2 linked regions of the Lonchura striata genome follow. Each later gene encodes a partner of the first gene's protein in a complex. Links are inferred from orthologs where the notes say so. Each region holds a gene or a part of one and is shown on either strand. Other genes may lie near its edges.

Evidence for each region.
Region 2: the proteins of FMN2 (region 1) and SPIRE1 are in contact, whole or in part, in a crystal structure (PDB 2YLE), measured with the Homo sapiens proteins. The link is inferred for Lonchura striata from reciprocal best matches to the Homo sapiens genes FMN2 and SPIRE1. Residues at the interface, in NP_064450.3 of Homo sapiens: Ser1702, Leu1703, Lys1705, Ile1706, Lys1707, Pro1708, Arg1709, His1710, Gly1713, Ile1714, Lys1715, Lys1717, Ile1718, Lys1721, Thr1722; in NP_001122098.1 of Homo sapiens: Gln51, Pro52, Ile53, Asn54, Glu127, Ile131, Tyr134, Lys135, Asp138, Leu141, Lys142, Glu143, Asn144, Glu145, Glu146, Arg147, Glu148, Glu154, Ile157, Asp158, Ala161, Asn162, Thr163, Val164, Glu165.

Annotation. Positions count from the first base shown.
Region 1 is NC_134605.1:47,123,420-47,131,069, forward strand, and holds the start of FMN2 (formin-2), read left to right. Parts: upstream 1-4,532; 5' UTR 4,533-4,772; coding exon 4,773-6,336; intron 6,337-7,650. UniProt on the Homo sapiens protein: Actin-binding protein that is involved in actin cytoskeleton assembly and reorganization. Acts as an actin nucleation factor and promotes assembly of actin filaments together with SPIRE1 and SPIRE2.
Region 2 is NC_134603.1:53,147,307-53,155,014, reverse strand, and holds the start of SPIRE1 (protein spire homolog 1), read left to right. Parts: upstream 1-4,534; 5' UTR 4,535-4,831; coding exon 4,832-5,132; intron 5,133-7,708. Other genes in the region: CEP76 (centrosomal protein of 76 kDa), read left to right, coding at 1-57, 1,270-1,487, 1,932-2,070.

The sequences.
Region 1 (7,650 bases):
GCCAGTCACATCTAGAGCTTGTGAAGTTCTAAAAGGCAATTCTCCCTATAGCTGAAAGAGATGGGAATGTAGGGGCAGGAATAAATTTTCAACTGCTTGGAGCATGATTTTGGTAATGTGAGGGAATATTTAATGGTAGCTGATGCCTTCTGGGAAGATAAGTTTTACATCATGCTCAGAATAGTAGCCAGGGAAGGCTTCTTGCTGCCACAAGACAGCAGGAATCAGGACCAAATTCCAGCACTGAACTGAATGAGAATGAGAATTCAAACTTTAGTAACATAAATGGGTAGAATGTTTCGGTCTGCTTAAACAACTCTTTCTTCACACGCTCTGTATTACCATATCCCAGTCAGTAATGTGACACCAGAGTACTTTGAAATGCTCTTGTTACTCTATGTTCCTTTTTCTCCAAACTAAACCCATGCACATTGAGCCACTCACTAAAATTAATCTCTGCAGGGTTTGTATGGAATATATGAGGATCTCCTGCAGCCATGTCTTCTTTGGGACTGGTGTGAGAAGAGGCTGGAGAGCACACAGTGCTGGGGCAGCAGAGCCCAGATCCAGGGCTGCAGTACAGTGCTGAGGCTCTCACACTGCTGCTGCCCCAGCCTCAGCCCACATCTGTGTGGAGCCTGAGTCCTTGGAGATTGAGATTCAGCACCCTCTAGTCAACCTCTGCCTTGGCCTGCCATGTAGTGTCTTACTCGCAGGAGAGCAGATGCCCTGGGCTGCAGCAGCCTCATCTCCCCTGAGTCTCCCAGCAGGGCAGTGGCAGGGCACAGAGCCCATGTACACACACACACACACACGTAGCCTGAACAGCCACTGTGGGCTGCTGGAAGGGCTGGCTGTGAGCACAGGGCCTGTCCCTCAGTCACTCTGCAGGGTGCTATGGGGGCACATGGCACACACAGGTCATCTTTGCTGCAGTGCTGCTGGTGCAGCATCACTGCTGGGATGCTGCTTTGGGTCCTCTGTGTCTTGGTAACACTCCTGTGCATGAAACCCTTTCCTGGGGTCGGGTGGGTGAAGCCTAACCCTGCCCAAAGGCTTGGACTCCAGCGGGCACAGCCTGAGGCAGTAACAGGGTGTTGTCTTCGCTTTACTGGGCTTATTCAACAACTACTGTTGAGAGCAGAATGAAATACCACAGTCAGTAAAGCATGGTGAAAACTCATCCACCCCAAGAAAGCTGTGTCTCCACTGAGCAGGCTCCCCTAGGCACCCCTCTTTTCCTCCAGGCAGCCCATGTTTGCCATGGGTCTGAAACAGCAGGAACTGGGACTGCTGACGCAGCCTTCTGTAAGGAAGGGAGGGAGAAGCCCTGAGCCGACAGGGGGGCAGCACTCTGCCTTGGCTGTGCTCCAGGAGACTGAGTCCTGACCCAGGTGTGGGCAGTCAGGGCTGCCCTTCCCCTCCCAGCTCATTAAGGGCTAGGCAAGCACTGCTGAGGGAGCTACTCACCTTTCCAGCGAGGCTGCAGGGAATGGCAACTATCTTGAAAATAATCACAGTCCTGAACAGGGCTTTGCGTTTTTAACAGGAGTGTGTTAATGTGGAGGTTTCTGGGAGCACAAGGATAACGTTTCTTCAATTGTAAGTTTTGACTCCCCTCTGTGTGTTGCCATTTGCATCTCCTGAGCTTAGGAGGAGAGTGATGAAGAGGATCTCAGGTCTATGTTTGTAGTGTCACCCCTCAGTATTTTTGGCTGAGCACTGGCAAATATTGATTGAGCCAGGCAGGCAGGTTCCCTCAGTAGCTTCTTGACAATTTATAGAAAGCTAAGAATAAGTTATGGTAACTCAGAATGAGTTATCACTCTTTAAAATGAAATATCTTTCTTGAACACCCAATCTTTTTCTTTTCTCCATACAGTGTCTGTTGAAAGTCTCTCTTTTTTGGTGTGAAATATTAAATGCCATGTCAGCTTTTAAAATGTAGCTTATGTTGATATCAAAATGGTTTCTTGCTGACTTTTGATGACATGTTTTTCTCTAGAAACTAAAAGACTGTCTGGGAATAAGCATATCCCAAAATATTAACATTTGTTTTTTACTGTAATATATTTAAATGTTGAGAATATTTATGGCTATACATTATGTGGGGGGTTTCTAACGACTGACTCATCATGATGTGCTGTATGAAAACTTCTAGGAAATATAAGTACTTACGTGATTAAACCTATTACAAGCATTAGTATCTAATTAAGAAATGAAGATTGGTCTTTAACTTGACTCCCTTATAAGCCTACCTGTGTCGATGACTTGCTTTTACAACACAATTTGCAGAGTAATCACTGCTGGTGATTTGTCATTAGTTGTAATGGAAGTGTATAGGATCTGACAGGCAAGTTCACAGACAAGGAAGGAAAGGGAGTGTTTCAGAACATTACACTAATTCTAAAGTTCCCTTACACATTTGGTCTATTGTAGCTTTATACTACTCCTGAATTATATTGATTTCTGGCATATTTTAGCAGGAAAATAGTTTTTAAGTGAGGTTGGAAGATACAAGTACTCCAGTTGTAATTAAGGCTTAGATTTTTCAGTTCTAGTCAATTAGAATACCCGTCAAGGTATTATTCTGCTACAATGGTTCTCTCAAATTATATCTTAATTCTTATGTGTATCTTCAGTTGGACTGAAATTATTTGCACTTTCAAAAGCCTTTTGCAAATACATAATAATGATGTAAGTGGTAAAATATTGCAAAAAGTATAACAGCATAACAGAAAGCAAAAGCAGGAATGAAGTAAAAAAGCAAAAGCCTGTGACATGCTTTTGCAGGTTTTGCTATACTAGTTCCTGTTAGCATATTTATAGTTGTTAAGTGTTAAAAGTAGAAAAAATTAGTTTTTTAACTTGGTTAGATAAAGAAAAATAATTAAAAAACCCAAATCGTCCCATTGAGTAGACAAAGTCATCTGATCCACATAAAACACTCAAGTTTTTGAAGACAAGAGATTTCTTTCTTATGTCTGAACCATAGCCCCCTCAGGACAGGGCTTACATCAGAGCAGTAAGTGACCAAGCAGCACAAGGAAGAAATTATGATAGTTCAAAAAAAATTATTTTGCATGGGTTATTACCAGTGTTATTGTTTCCAAACCAAATAAAAAGCACTTATTTGCTGTTTATAAAAAGAGAGCCTAGATTTGTAAAGGTATTTAGAAATTTTTGGAAAAAAAATAATGTGTGTCTTGGAGGAAGTAGAGGGTGGGGAGGAGAGGGTGCCTGTATAGTTTTTAAAATGTCAGTGGTACTCCTTCTTCTTTAATGTTTATTAAGGCAGAGGAAAGAAGTGAAATCTCTGGTAGGAATTACATCAAAAGTAACAGAGAAACCAGAAGAATGTGTTTCCCTGGAATGATGTATTATTTTAAGCAATCCCTGATTAAAGGGAAATTGCAAGTGAAGAAGTTCATAGCCATGAGGAATACATAAAGTCTTTTACAAAAACTGAATCTAATAGACTGGAAAATTTAGAGATGGTAAATTATAAACAGAAAATCTATCTAATTACTACCTGTTTGGTGTTGAACCACGGAATTGGACAGCCGAATTGATTGACTATGGTAACAGCATTCTCAAGTCCTTTGATTTCTATTCCTGTTATATTAATTCTAAATTTTAAAAGTGGAAGGAAATATCTAAAAGTTCAGAATATGTATTTATGAAATAGTGAAGCTTATAAATCTAAAGCAAAAATTAAGGAGAAGCAGCAACTGATTCAAACTTTTGCACAAGCTTCCAAAGTAGCTAGGAAGTATTCCCATCTAAATCAATTATTAAATAGGTTGGGTGCAATAGAGGAGTACTTTACTGTTTCTTTTTCCTTAGTAGCATTTGAATACTACTATTTTTTTTTTTTGTTTTATCTTGTTTCATGCCAGATGTTCTTATGAGGGAAAACAATGGTGATGTGTTTTAATATTGATGAGCTGATTCTCCTGGGAATAACAGTATATCTACCTTCTTAGAATACAAATTGTGGGAGGCTTTTTATAGCATAATTACCACAATGCATTGAATTTTAAGTGCAACTCTTTAAAACTGTGGAAAGAACTTTATGTCTATTATCTTTATTTTAGCTACTTTAAAAGGAGAAGGACTCTTCTTTTAAAATTATCTATTGTTTTGGTGGCCTTTAAAAAGCAAGCATATAAATCACCAGAGGTATTGTGTAATCTGTCAAAGCGGCATATGCTTAAGCACCTTATAAACTATTAAATAATCATAATATTTCTCTTTCTAAGTTTGTTCATTTATTTATTGAGCAGTTACAGAGCAATTAAAGTACCTTGTTTTAACTTATTCTTTCTCTTTTTTCCCTTCAGGAGCTAGAAGTACTGAAATCATAAATGATTTGGTGACAAGCTAAGCTTGCAATGCAGGCAATAAAAACCGTGGAAAAAGAAGTGATTTTTCTAAAGGAAACATATTTCACAGAATCCTTCCTAAAGCAAGAAAAGTGCAGCAGGAGCCCGGCGAGCAGGCAGCTCCAAGAGCAGCAGCCATTGGAAGGAGCTGTCTGCAGCTCTCAGTGCTGTACTGAGCATGTCCCAGCGGAGCCCAGTGCAAGCAGCACATTATGCAAAAAGGCAGCTCCAGCAGATGGGAGAGAGGCACAGCAAGCATTTGCTTCACTTGCATCCCCGCCGCCTGCAAACAAGCCTGGATCGCTAGAGGGGATCTTGCCAGCAGGCCAAAGGAATGAAATCCGGGAGGATGGCTTGATTGTCAAAGGTGCTGCTCTACAAAAAATCATGGGGAATCAAGATGGGAAGCTAAAGAAAAATACAGGTGATGTGCAAGAAGGAGGAGAAGATGCCTCTGGGCCCAAGGATACGGACGGCACAAAGAAGGTATCGGGAGGCAGAAGGGGACTGGGGAAGCATGCAAAAGGAAGCGAATCGGGTAAGAAGAAGGGTAAGTCGGACTCCAGGCCCTCTGTGTTTTCAAATCTGAGGATCAGAAAAAATCTGTCCAAGGCTAAAGATGGGAATAGCAGCTCCCGGGAGGATGTTTTGGAAAGCCAGGCCTTGCAGCCTGGGGAGCTGGACAGTACTCATTCAATTGTAACCAAAACTCCCGATATAAGCATCTCTGCAGATGAAGGGGGTCTCTCAGACACAGATGTTGAACATTTTGAAATCAGAAATGAAACTGTTCCAGCTGCTGCAGAGACACAGGATGGACAAAGGACCAGCTCTGGCTCTGATACGGATATATACAGTTTCCATTCAGCCGCAGAACAAGAGGATTTGCTTTCTGATATCCAGCAAGCTATTAGACTGCAGCAGCAGCAGCAGCAGGGGGCAATTAACATTGGAACTGAGGACCTCGTCACCAAAACAATGGGCCGACACATGGCTAATTCTCAAGCAACCTCCTTAGATTTTGAACGTTTTTTTTCAGTAACTACCACTGACAAAGAGAGGAGCCCAGACACTGAGGGGGCTTTTCCAGCGGTATCGGAAATCGTGGAAAACATTCCCATCTCCTGTGCAACTGAACGGGAACCGAAAGAAGCGGTAAACAGCACAGGCTCTCCTGGTAACAGCTTATTTGAAACACAAGAAGGTCAGCTACTGATTGAGGAGCAGCCCATTGCTGAAGTGGATGCTGTAGCCTGTGAACAACAAGATGGTTTGAATAGAGCTGCAGGAGAAAATGGGTCTCAGGCACACAGCTCCACAGAACCTTTTCCATCTCCAGTGGCAGATGCTGAGGCTAAAATCACTGAAGTGCAGGCTGTTGGTTTTCAGGGCTCAGTAACAGAGGGTGGTATTTCAGATGCAGGCCGTGATCATGCTGCTGAGACTCAGGAAGGGAAACACACTCTGTCAGCCAGTCAAGAGGAGCTGCGTAATGGTTTATCCACAGAAATGAAAAATGGCATTTTGTCCTCTGAAGGAACAGCGGACAGCCCGATACTTGGTTCCCGATGCTTTAAGCCCTATCTAATTAACCCCTGTTACATCAAAACCACAACTAGGCAACTGAGTTCTCCCAACCATTCACCTTCTCCCTCCCCATCCCAGAGCCCACTTTTCACAAGGAGGCAGGAGTCCTTCCACAAAAAGGAAAAAGTCTCAATCAGGAAGAAGAGGTCTGCTAGTTTGGCAGGTTTGTTCAGTCGTTCTGCAGACTGGACAGAAGAGGTGTCTAATCACAAAAGCGAGATAACGGAGAAGGTGAGCTCTGCAGACTACTTGGAGCACAAGGGGTTTAGAGAGAAATTTCAAACAGAAAGTGTGCCTTTGACTCATTCAAGAAAGTCCTCAGGGGTCCAGGCTTCTACAGAGACATTTCCCAATGTCTTTTCAGGTAAGTGATATGTATTAAGAGTTGTTTTGGTTTTTTTTTTCCACAACAGCTTTGAAAATATTTTTAAAATACTTAAATTCATTGCATGCAGTACTTTGGCCTTGCAATCCAAGGCCTGATCTTACAAACACAGTCACATTTCATCAGTCTGGCAGTACTGCCCGTAAAGGAAGTGCATAACTCTTTGAAGTTTTTCTTTCTACTTGTCTCCTTTGTCTACATCCTGTAGGAAAAGGCTGAATGTCTTAAATTATTCTTGTTGAAAAATGCTAAAAGCTGTACTGTTGTAGGCAGATCAGCTCTCTGCATGAACAGAGCTTTCAAATGCAAAGCTTTCTGTGACCAGGATCCTGTTTGGGGTTTTTTTGTGCTAGGTGCTGTTCTAGTGTAATATAAACACAGGAGAGCTGCACCTGGTGTTAGACTGAGGCAATGATGAGAATTTGCTTAGTACAAAAAGGAAAAAGCTGTGCTAGCACAGATGGACAGCACTTCAGAAAGGAACCAATTTCCTCTTCAGAAGGGGGAAGAAGGAGAAGAAAAAAGTCAGTGTATTGAAAGGCAGCAAAAACGGGGAAAGTGGGGGTTGTACGATTTGGTAGCTGTGACATGCTGCTGCTCAGGCTACATAAGGTGACTCATTCAGTAAACTTTTACCTTCCTGTTAGACAGCTTGTATCCTGTCCCAAAGACATGGGATTAGAAAGCTCACAAATGAAGTTGTGTAAGTAGGTAGTTATATTTTCCTTCACTCTGAGGTTTTTTTTTTCTCTCTCTTCCCCTCACCTGAAGTTTCTTTCTAAAGGTAATATATTCATACTTAGGAACACTTCTGCCACATAGGAGGTATGTGTACAGAGAAAACTCGGCAACATATTCCATATATTTTTCACTTGAGGAAAAACTGTAGAACTAAGAGAACATACCCTAAGAGCATCTGCTGTTAGATAAAATCAGATTTTTTTGAATGAAGTCAGTTCTAGATGCATGAGCACAGCAACCATACATGTGCACAAGGTCTTAGCAAAAAATTGAGTGATCTTTTTCTGTGGTTTTATGAAGATCAAACAGAAAAGTATGATTTAGGAAGTAAATATCTAAAATTATTTTCTAGATTCAAATCACAGTGCTTTCATTCTTCAGTAGCCTTGAACTAAAATCCCCAATTTCAGTCTAGAAAATCAGAATTCAAGGTTTTTAACAAAGAAAAGCCAGTTCCCTCTGAGACTAGCCCTCAGTGAACTGAGCTGAATCTTTTTGTTTGTTTTAAATCCCTTCCACCCTTTCTTAGAGAATTTTGGACATGCTGCCTAA
Region 2 (7,708 bases), on another chromosome or scaffold:
GTAACAAGCAACGAGATAGAAGTGCAGCTGAGGATACTGGTCTCTGAACATAGAAAGGTGAGAAAGATTGGCAGTGATATGTCATGGTAATAGAAGTTCGTGTGTTAATTGTATACTTGTTTTAGATAGCAATTTGTTAGTTTGCAGTGTGTTTTCCATCAGCTTTTGCAGAAACGTGATATGGGAAAGGTGAAAACCTGAAAAAAAATGTTTGGGAAGACTGTAATAAGCTGTTTTATACTATTATTTGCAGTGGTAGTCCACAGCCTCATATGTGGGCTTTTCCACCTACCCTGCCTTTGCCCCTTGTTCTAGATCTGTGACTTTCAGCTTACTGGCACCTGCAGACCACCCATGAGGGGTCTCTAAAAGCACCAGGAAGATGAAACCTGGATGTTAGTGGGCTTTGCCAATCCAGCAAAAATGTTTCTGGGTCCTAGATGAAAGCAGGCTTTCAGCTTTCGTGATCTTACTCTGACTGCTTTACAAAATCAGAGAAATTTTTAGAAGTTAATTTTTGCCTTCACCAGGATTTTTACAGGGCATAATGTGCCAGCAATTATACTTCCTGTGTTGGACATGAAGACAATGATATTTTAAGTCCCTGTTAGCTTATGTCTGTTTTTAATGAGGTTTTTTGATTGATTCTGTTTTATCTCCCCACACGATGCTCAGCCTTTAGTGTGGCAAAGTAATTGTCAGAGTATAAGTCTCATGCAGTGTTGAATACATAGACAGAAGATTTTTCTACTTCTTTGCATTTGGGATGCTGGGAGGAAGGTTCATGTACATGGTGGGAAGATAGATGGTAGAAAGAAGGTGCCTTTGTGTTTCAGGGAGCTGTTGTGCATCATTTTTTCAGAAAGGGTTTTCCATGAGACATTTGAAAAAATGTCAGGTGACTCTTAGTTGATCTTTTCCATATTTTAGCTGTGTATTTATGCATATCTTCTTACATTTTGTGCAGAGATACTGTAGCTGAAACATCTGGTTTCAGCTCTGCTGGCCTTATGTTTTAGTCTAATAGTTTAACTTCATTCCTTGATAAATGTTTGATACTTGTGGTGTCACTTGCTTCAGGTGGTGGTGTTTGCTTCTCCCAATTGGTGTATGAGTCAATACACGAATCTCACTGCTTTGTGAGTACACTGCCATTAACTGCCAATATAAAGATTCTTGGATTTATTTGAATCTATACAGTAGGTGAGTTTAAGCATATCCTGATGTACCTTCTGCACAGTTGTCATCATTCTGTGACTTGCCTCCCAGGATCTTGGCCTTTCGACTGTTTGGGATGACCAGCTCTCCTATCTGTTGTCACCAGCATTAGCAGCCTATGAGCTGGAACGCACAACAGGTGTTTGTGCAGGAAATGAAGAGTTTCAGGATGCTGTAAGGAGAGCAGTACCTGATGGTCACACCTTCAAAGGGTTTCCCATCCATTTTGTGCACAGAAATGCCAGGAGAGCATTTGCCACATGTCTTCGGTAAGTCTTAAGTGTAAAGATACAGGTATATGTTAAAACGAAATAGTAATCCTTAATTGCTAATTGCAACTCATTTTTTTAATAATGGATTTTAAAGAAAATTAATTTCCTTAGGTTAGAACTGGAGGAAGAGTGGTGTAGTGTAATGGATCATGAAGTACAGAGCATTTAGGTTACATTGGTGATTCAATGGTGATAGACTTCTCGTGTATTAAATTGAAGAACAAGGAGTTAATTTCATTTCTCTGTACTTAAAAATGATCAGTGGTCGTGTCATTTTCCTCCAAGGCAACTATAGAGCAATATTATTTGTAATGACAGATTCACAATATTAATTTTTACTTAAATGCTAGTCACACTTAAAAAAAATTGCACTATGTAATTAAAAGCTTAAACAATATCTTAGGATTGTCTGTTACTCCTGTGTTTCTTTTTGTGATATAGGTCTCCTTTTTGTGAAGAAATAATCTGTTGTAGGGGAGACCAAGTGCGACTTGCAGTTCGTGTACGAGTGTTTGCATACCCTGAATCTGCGTGTGCTGTTTGGATCATGTTTGCTTGTAAATATCGCTCTGTCCTTTGAAAAAAGTCCCAAAATGTTCATACCTTTTTAGCCCTGCAAAATAATGTATGTGGGTGTAAAATGATTCAATTAAAAATGAATATAGTATTTTATATAAATGCCACTGATTTTGAACACCACAGTGTGTGTATTGAAGGGGATTGTGTACACAGTAATGATTGTATTTATAAAGAGAATTTATTCTTTGTAATAAAAGTTACTTTTTATATTTACAGAAGTGTGAATCAAGTTACTAAAATGTGTCAAAAAATATCTTCTGAATTGGTTTAAGAGTTTGTTTGGGTCTGCTTTACCTCTGCAGGGTAAGAGACTCTTTTCTACCTCACCTTTCCCTGTAGTGTAGAGGGTATACTTTGTGAGTGACTGGGTTCCAGAAATACTGGTGTTTAGGCATGTTTCCTTCAGACAACAAAATTTATTTCTGCGTCTTGTGGCTCTAACAGTAACTTCTACATTCAACTTCTGAGAACGGTTCAATTGGATAAAGGTAAACTTGTTCATCTGTGAATTTAGTAATATATGGATTTATTTCAGAAATACACATTAAGACTTGCATACCTGAAGATATGAATAGCTATGATGGGTTGGATAAAGTAGTTAAACTTGGTGCCTTTTGCCTCTTGTTACCTTAAGAAGTTTCTGAGGTAGAAATTGTAGCCAGGACATTTTCCTTGACAGCCATTGTGTAATTCTGTTGCTCAGATCTGTACTTAATTAGCCATCTGTGATTTTGTCTGTCTTAAACCTGTGGGTGATGATTTTGCTGAGTATCTTTAAATCTTTATGTTATGCAAAATGACAAGCTGTTGGGCTTACTGAACTTTTCTGTACCATACTTCTCAGGTTTTTCCCCATGTGGACTCCAGGCATCTCTTCTTGTGCCTGGAAAAATCTGAAACTGTTTGATTTCTTCTGTAGAAGCCATTCTGTGTCAGTGATAGCCCATGACCACCTCCTTTGGTTGTCCTAGTAAGAAGGAGGCAACTCTTTCTGCTGGTGCTGGACCAAAAAAAGTACCTGATCCTAAGAGAATTTTGCAACACATACAGCAGGAGTGAATGTTGGCATTTTGCATGTACATTTAATCAGCAGTGTGGCAGTGTGAAACCACTTTTAACTTTTTACTTCAAGAAATGTTAAATACTTTCTATGGCAGCACTGAGGTTTTTTAAATTTAGGACTCTTAATAGTACACTATGTACCTACTGGCCCTACCGCTAACTTTACAAGTCTGTTTTTGTGGTATCTTTTTTTTTTATGCCTGAAAGATCAAAATGCATTCATTTGCTTGTTACACAGCATATAGGATGCTGATAAAAGCTTCACAAGTACAATTTCTCCCCCAGTTTCCTTGAATCTAAATGTAGCCTGAAAGGCTAAATCATATTGCATGGTGATTATCGCCAAATTCAACAGCATTAAGTACAACTTGCATCTTGTATGCACCGCTGCATGTTGCACAAGAGGAAAGAGGAAAAAAGCGGCGTTCAGAGCAGCTGGAAGTGGGATGGGAAGAGAGGAGCTGGAAGTGGGATGGGAAGAGAGGAGCTGGAAGTGGGATGGGAAGAGAGGAGCTGGAAGTGGGATGGGAAGAGAGGAGCTGGAAGTGGAATGGGAAGAGAGGAGCTGGAAGTGGAAGGCGGCGGGGACCTTGTCCAGGTGCAGTACCTCTCCTGTACGGCAGGGGGCGCTCCCGGCGCCGTCCCTCACACCCGGCTCCCTGTGGATCAGGTGCGAACGGGAGATTTTTGTTTCACATCTGAGAGGTACAACGCTAAAGACAGAAACACCGAGTGTTCGGTGTAAGCTCCAGCTTATTTAGTCTGATGGTGCTCTGCGTGAAAGTGCTCGTTTGCCTGGGGTGAAGCTGGCATGAAGGGCTGTGCTCTTCTGGTGCCCAGGTGTGTCCAGGGGCAGGGACGTCAGTTCCCAGCGGCTTGGAGGACGATTCCCTTGTTGTTCCCCTTCTCGCCTGGGCTGGTTTAACTCCGCTAGCCTCTCTATGTACCGTGGACGTTTCCAGCCTTGATGCTGCCGAGGATGGAGCTTTCCCGGAGGAAGTTTGCTTTGGGAGGGCAGAACCTGTAAATTCAAAGGCACTCACCCTCCCGCTATGAAAGCGGGGCCCTGCTACGTTTCGCTGTATCCGTGATGGCGCGGGTTGGTGTCAAGTGTTCAACACTTGGGGGTGCAGGGAGTGTCATCCCACGTCCCGCCGGGAGTTGCTTGTTTCTGGGGGTGGTGGTTACCGACACCCGGCGCAGAAGCGGCGTCCCGAGGGCCGTGGGCCGAGTGCCGCAGGTCCGTCGGTGTCTCCGGGAGCTGGAAGCCGAGCGGTCGCCGCGGCAGCCCCGGGTGGATCCCCCGCGTGCCGTGGCGGCCGTGCCGGCAGGGGGCGCTGCGGCGGCGGGCGGCGCCGCGCGGCGGGGGCGGGCGAGGACGAGGACGCCATTGCGTTGCTATGAGCTGTCGCTCCCCCTGCGGCGGCGGCGGCGGCGGGCGGACCGGGCGCTGATCCTGTGCTCGCCTTCCTCCTGACTCCTGTCTGTTTCCTGGCTCCTGCTGCCTGCCGCGCGGGCCGGGCTGTCCGTCCGGCGGCCTGGTGGTACTAGCGGGGCGGAGAGGATGAGCACGGCGGGACCGGGCGGCAGCAGCAGCACAAGCAGCAGCAGCGGCATCAGCGCAAGCAGCAGCATCAGCAGCCGCCGCCGCCGCGGCGGGGCCGGTCACTGAGCGAGGAGCACCGCGGCGGACGCAGGGCATGGAGCCCCAGCCCGGCGCCTCCCGCCCGGCCGCCGAGGAGGAGGAGGACGGCGGCGGCGGGTCCGGCGGGCAGCCGGAGGCGCTGTCGCTGGAGGAGATCCTCCGGCTCTACAACCAGCCCATCAACGAGGAGCAGGCGTGGGCCGTGTGTTACCAGTGCTGCGCCTCGCTGCGCGCCCGCCGCGGAGAGACCCCCGCCGCCAGGCTGGGGGCGGCGGCCGCGCACCTCCGCGTCTGGCGGGACGGCGCCGTCACCCTGGAGCGGGACGAGCCCGACCGGCCGCCCCCGCCCGCCGCAGGTAAGGCCGGGGGTGGCGCCGACCCCGCGCAGCCACCGGCGGCAGCAGCCGGGGGTCGGCGCGGGCGGCTGCCCGTCTCCATCAGCCTTTGTCCGGGACGTGACGGTCCTTCCCGCCCGAGGGTCGCGGTGGGCGAGCGCTCGGCTCCTCAGTCCTGCCGGGGGCTGTGGCGGGGCTGCGTGCGTGTGTATGCGTGTGTGTGTGTGTGTGTCCCTGCGGCATCTCGGTGTCGTGCGTGGAAAGGCAGAACCACGGGATGCGATCGCCTGCGTGCGGGCACGGGCAGGCGAATGCGGGGCCAGTGTTTTATAATTGCGTCGTCTCTCCTGGTGCGTAATCAATCCCGTGCCATCCGCACACCGGGAGCGCCTCTCTTGCGGGCTCCCTGCTCTTTGGGTTCCTCCGGCCGGGCCGTGCATCCCGCAGGGGCTCCCGGAGCAATTGGGCATCAGAAGGCACCTATTAGAAATATATCCTTTTAGATGTGTGCTGACACTAAGTGAGTGAGAAAGCCGTGTACAGGGGCTTAGCACCTACCATCTGTTTCGTTAAAATGCCCAGGAAAGCGTATTTTGCATTGGAAAGGAAAATGAGGGCGCATGTCTGTTTCTCAGCCCTTCAAAGCTTCTGATTTTTAATGTGGAAAGCAGTATTTTTTTTTTTTTGCAAGTAAAGCTCAATTTCTGAAAAGAAATCAAAGATGGATAGTAGAAGGATGTGACCAATACATGATGGTATTCCCCAGTATCAGCCTAGTCCACATACCACATCACAGAATTTTCTGAGAAGACAGAGGTTTCAGCATTTTAAAGTTGTGTGAATCAGAAGGCAATGGTAAATGCACAAAATGGGATTAATGGAGCCCTCAGCATTTAGAGCACGAATATTATGCCTGGTGTTACAATTTAATGAAGCCTTTTGATACAGTGCCTGTCTGAAAAGTCTTTTGGCAGAGACATACAGTAATCCAGTTTGGAGCTAGTGGTACATGCAAATATCAAAATATATTTAGCGGAAGAAAGGACATAATTTAGTTCTGCAATTGTAATGAGTCTAATAATGACTTTCATTTAAATATGATCTGGTGTGCTTTTAAAATAGTTTTAAAAAATAGGTCTTTGTTAATTAATGTTAATTAAATGCCAGACCAACACCCAGAAATTCCAGGAAAATGCTCTCCTGACCAAGGCATCTGCATGTCACAAGCGCATTGAAGAGTTTTGTGTTGCATGTTTTGTGCTGTTTTTGCTTACAGTCTTTTCAGATGACATCAAGACTTTTTCTTTTCTCTTTCCTATTGCAGGAAATACATTAGTTTACTATGTATTTCTTTCTTTTGTGTCTTTTCCTTGCTATTGGTGGACTTACCCTATTTCCTCTTACCATTACGGGCTTACTTAACTTTGCTCTTATCATTACTGGCTGTAGGATGGTGTTGAATATACTTGTATATAAAGTTCAGGCCCCTCACTGATATCTAGGATATTTATTTTACATTAAAGCTTTACTGTGAAAATGTTTTAGTCAACATGTGCTAACCAGTGTATGTTGATATCACATCTAAATTTTTGAACGGATGAGATTTTTTTTTTAATATTCCAGCCCGATTTTTCTTTTTTTCACCTTATTAGTGTATGTATTATTTTGTATAACACCACATGTGTGTCCTTATATCTGGAGAATATTAAGAGAGTGTGTATATGTACCTAAACAAAGATAACCAGTCTTTGAAGACCTCCCAGGAAAGCAGGAGGCAGGAGCTATCCCAGGGAGAGTACCCCTTCCAGGGCATATAATAGAAAAGGGGAGGCAGGGATTTTTCTGCCAGCTGTCCATTCCTAAAGCATCCTCAGTGAACTCGCTTTTCCATCAGCTGCAGGCTGGTAGGTGCCTGGATTTGAAAAGAGGCAGAATTCCTCCTGGGGTCCTCTCCCTGCCCCGGCCTTCTTCATCTACCTAACTTTGAACAGACTTTGGAAAGAGAGGCTGCTCAGCCTCCAAGCTTTCACAAGGGATTTTGTGTGTTCTTTGATTTGTGAAACCTGGAGCAGGTTTTCACTGGAAATTGTTATATATATGTGATACATGTTGGGAGTTCACTATACTGAATGTTGAGGAGCTGACAGAAGGCTTGCTTGTTGTTGGTATCTTTTGAGCTATCCCTATTCTTTTCCCTATTGCTTACTGCATTCTCTTTGGGTGATGATTAATGTGCTTCCTCAGCCAGTTACAGCTTGAGCCTCTGGAATAGGTGTTTGTTTGTAGGCTCCTGTATTCTCTCTGCACCAGTGAAAGCTTAGGAAGAACCAGTGCCCTGGCTCTGTGGCCTGGGAAACAGTACAGTGTAACAGGCCCTGAAGCTGTATGGTCACAGTAATTTTACTTTCAAGATACAAATTAAAGATCTCTTAGAAGAAGTACTGATTATACAGAAACTGATGGTATTTTTCCAAAGCAGTTTCTTGTGAAACAGTTTACCAGTTCATGCTCAATACTTGAAATTCCAAGTAACAATACATAGAAATTGAAGAAAAATGTCCTTGAGATAGGAAAGAGATGAGTTTCGCTGATAGTGG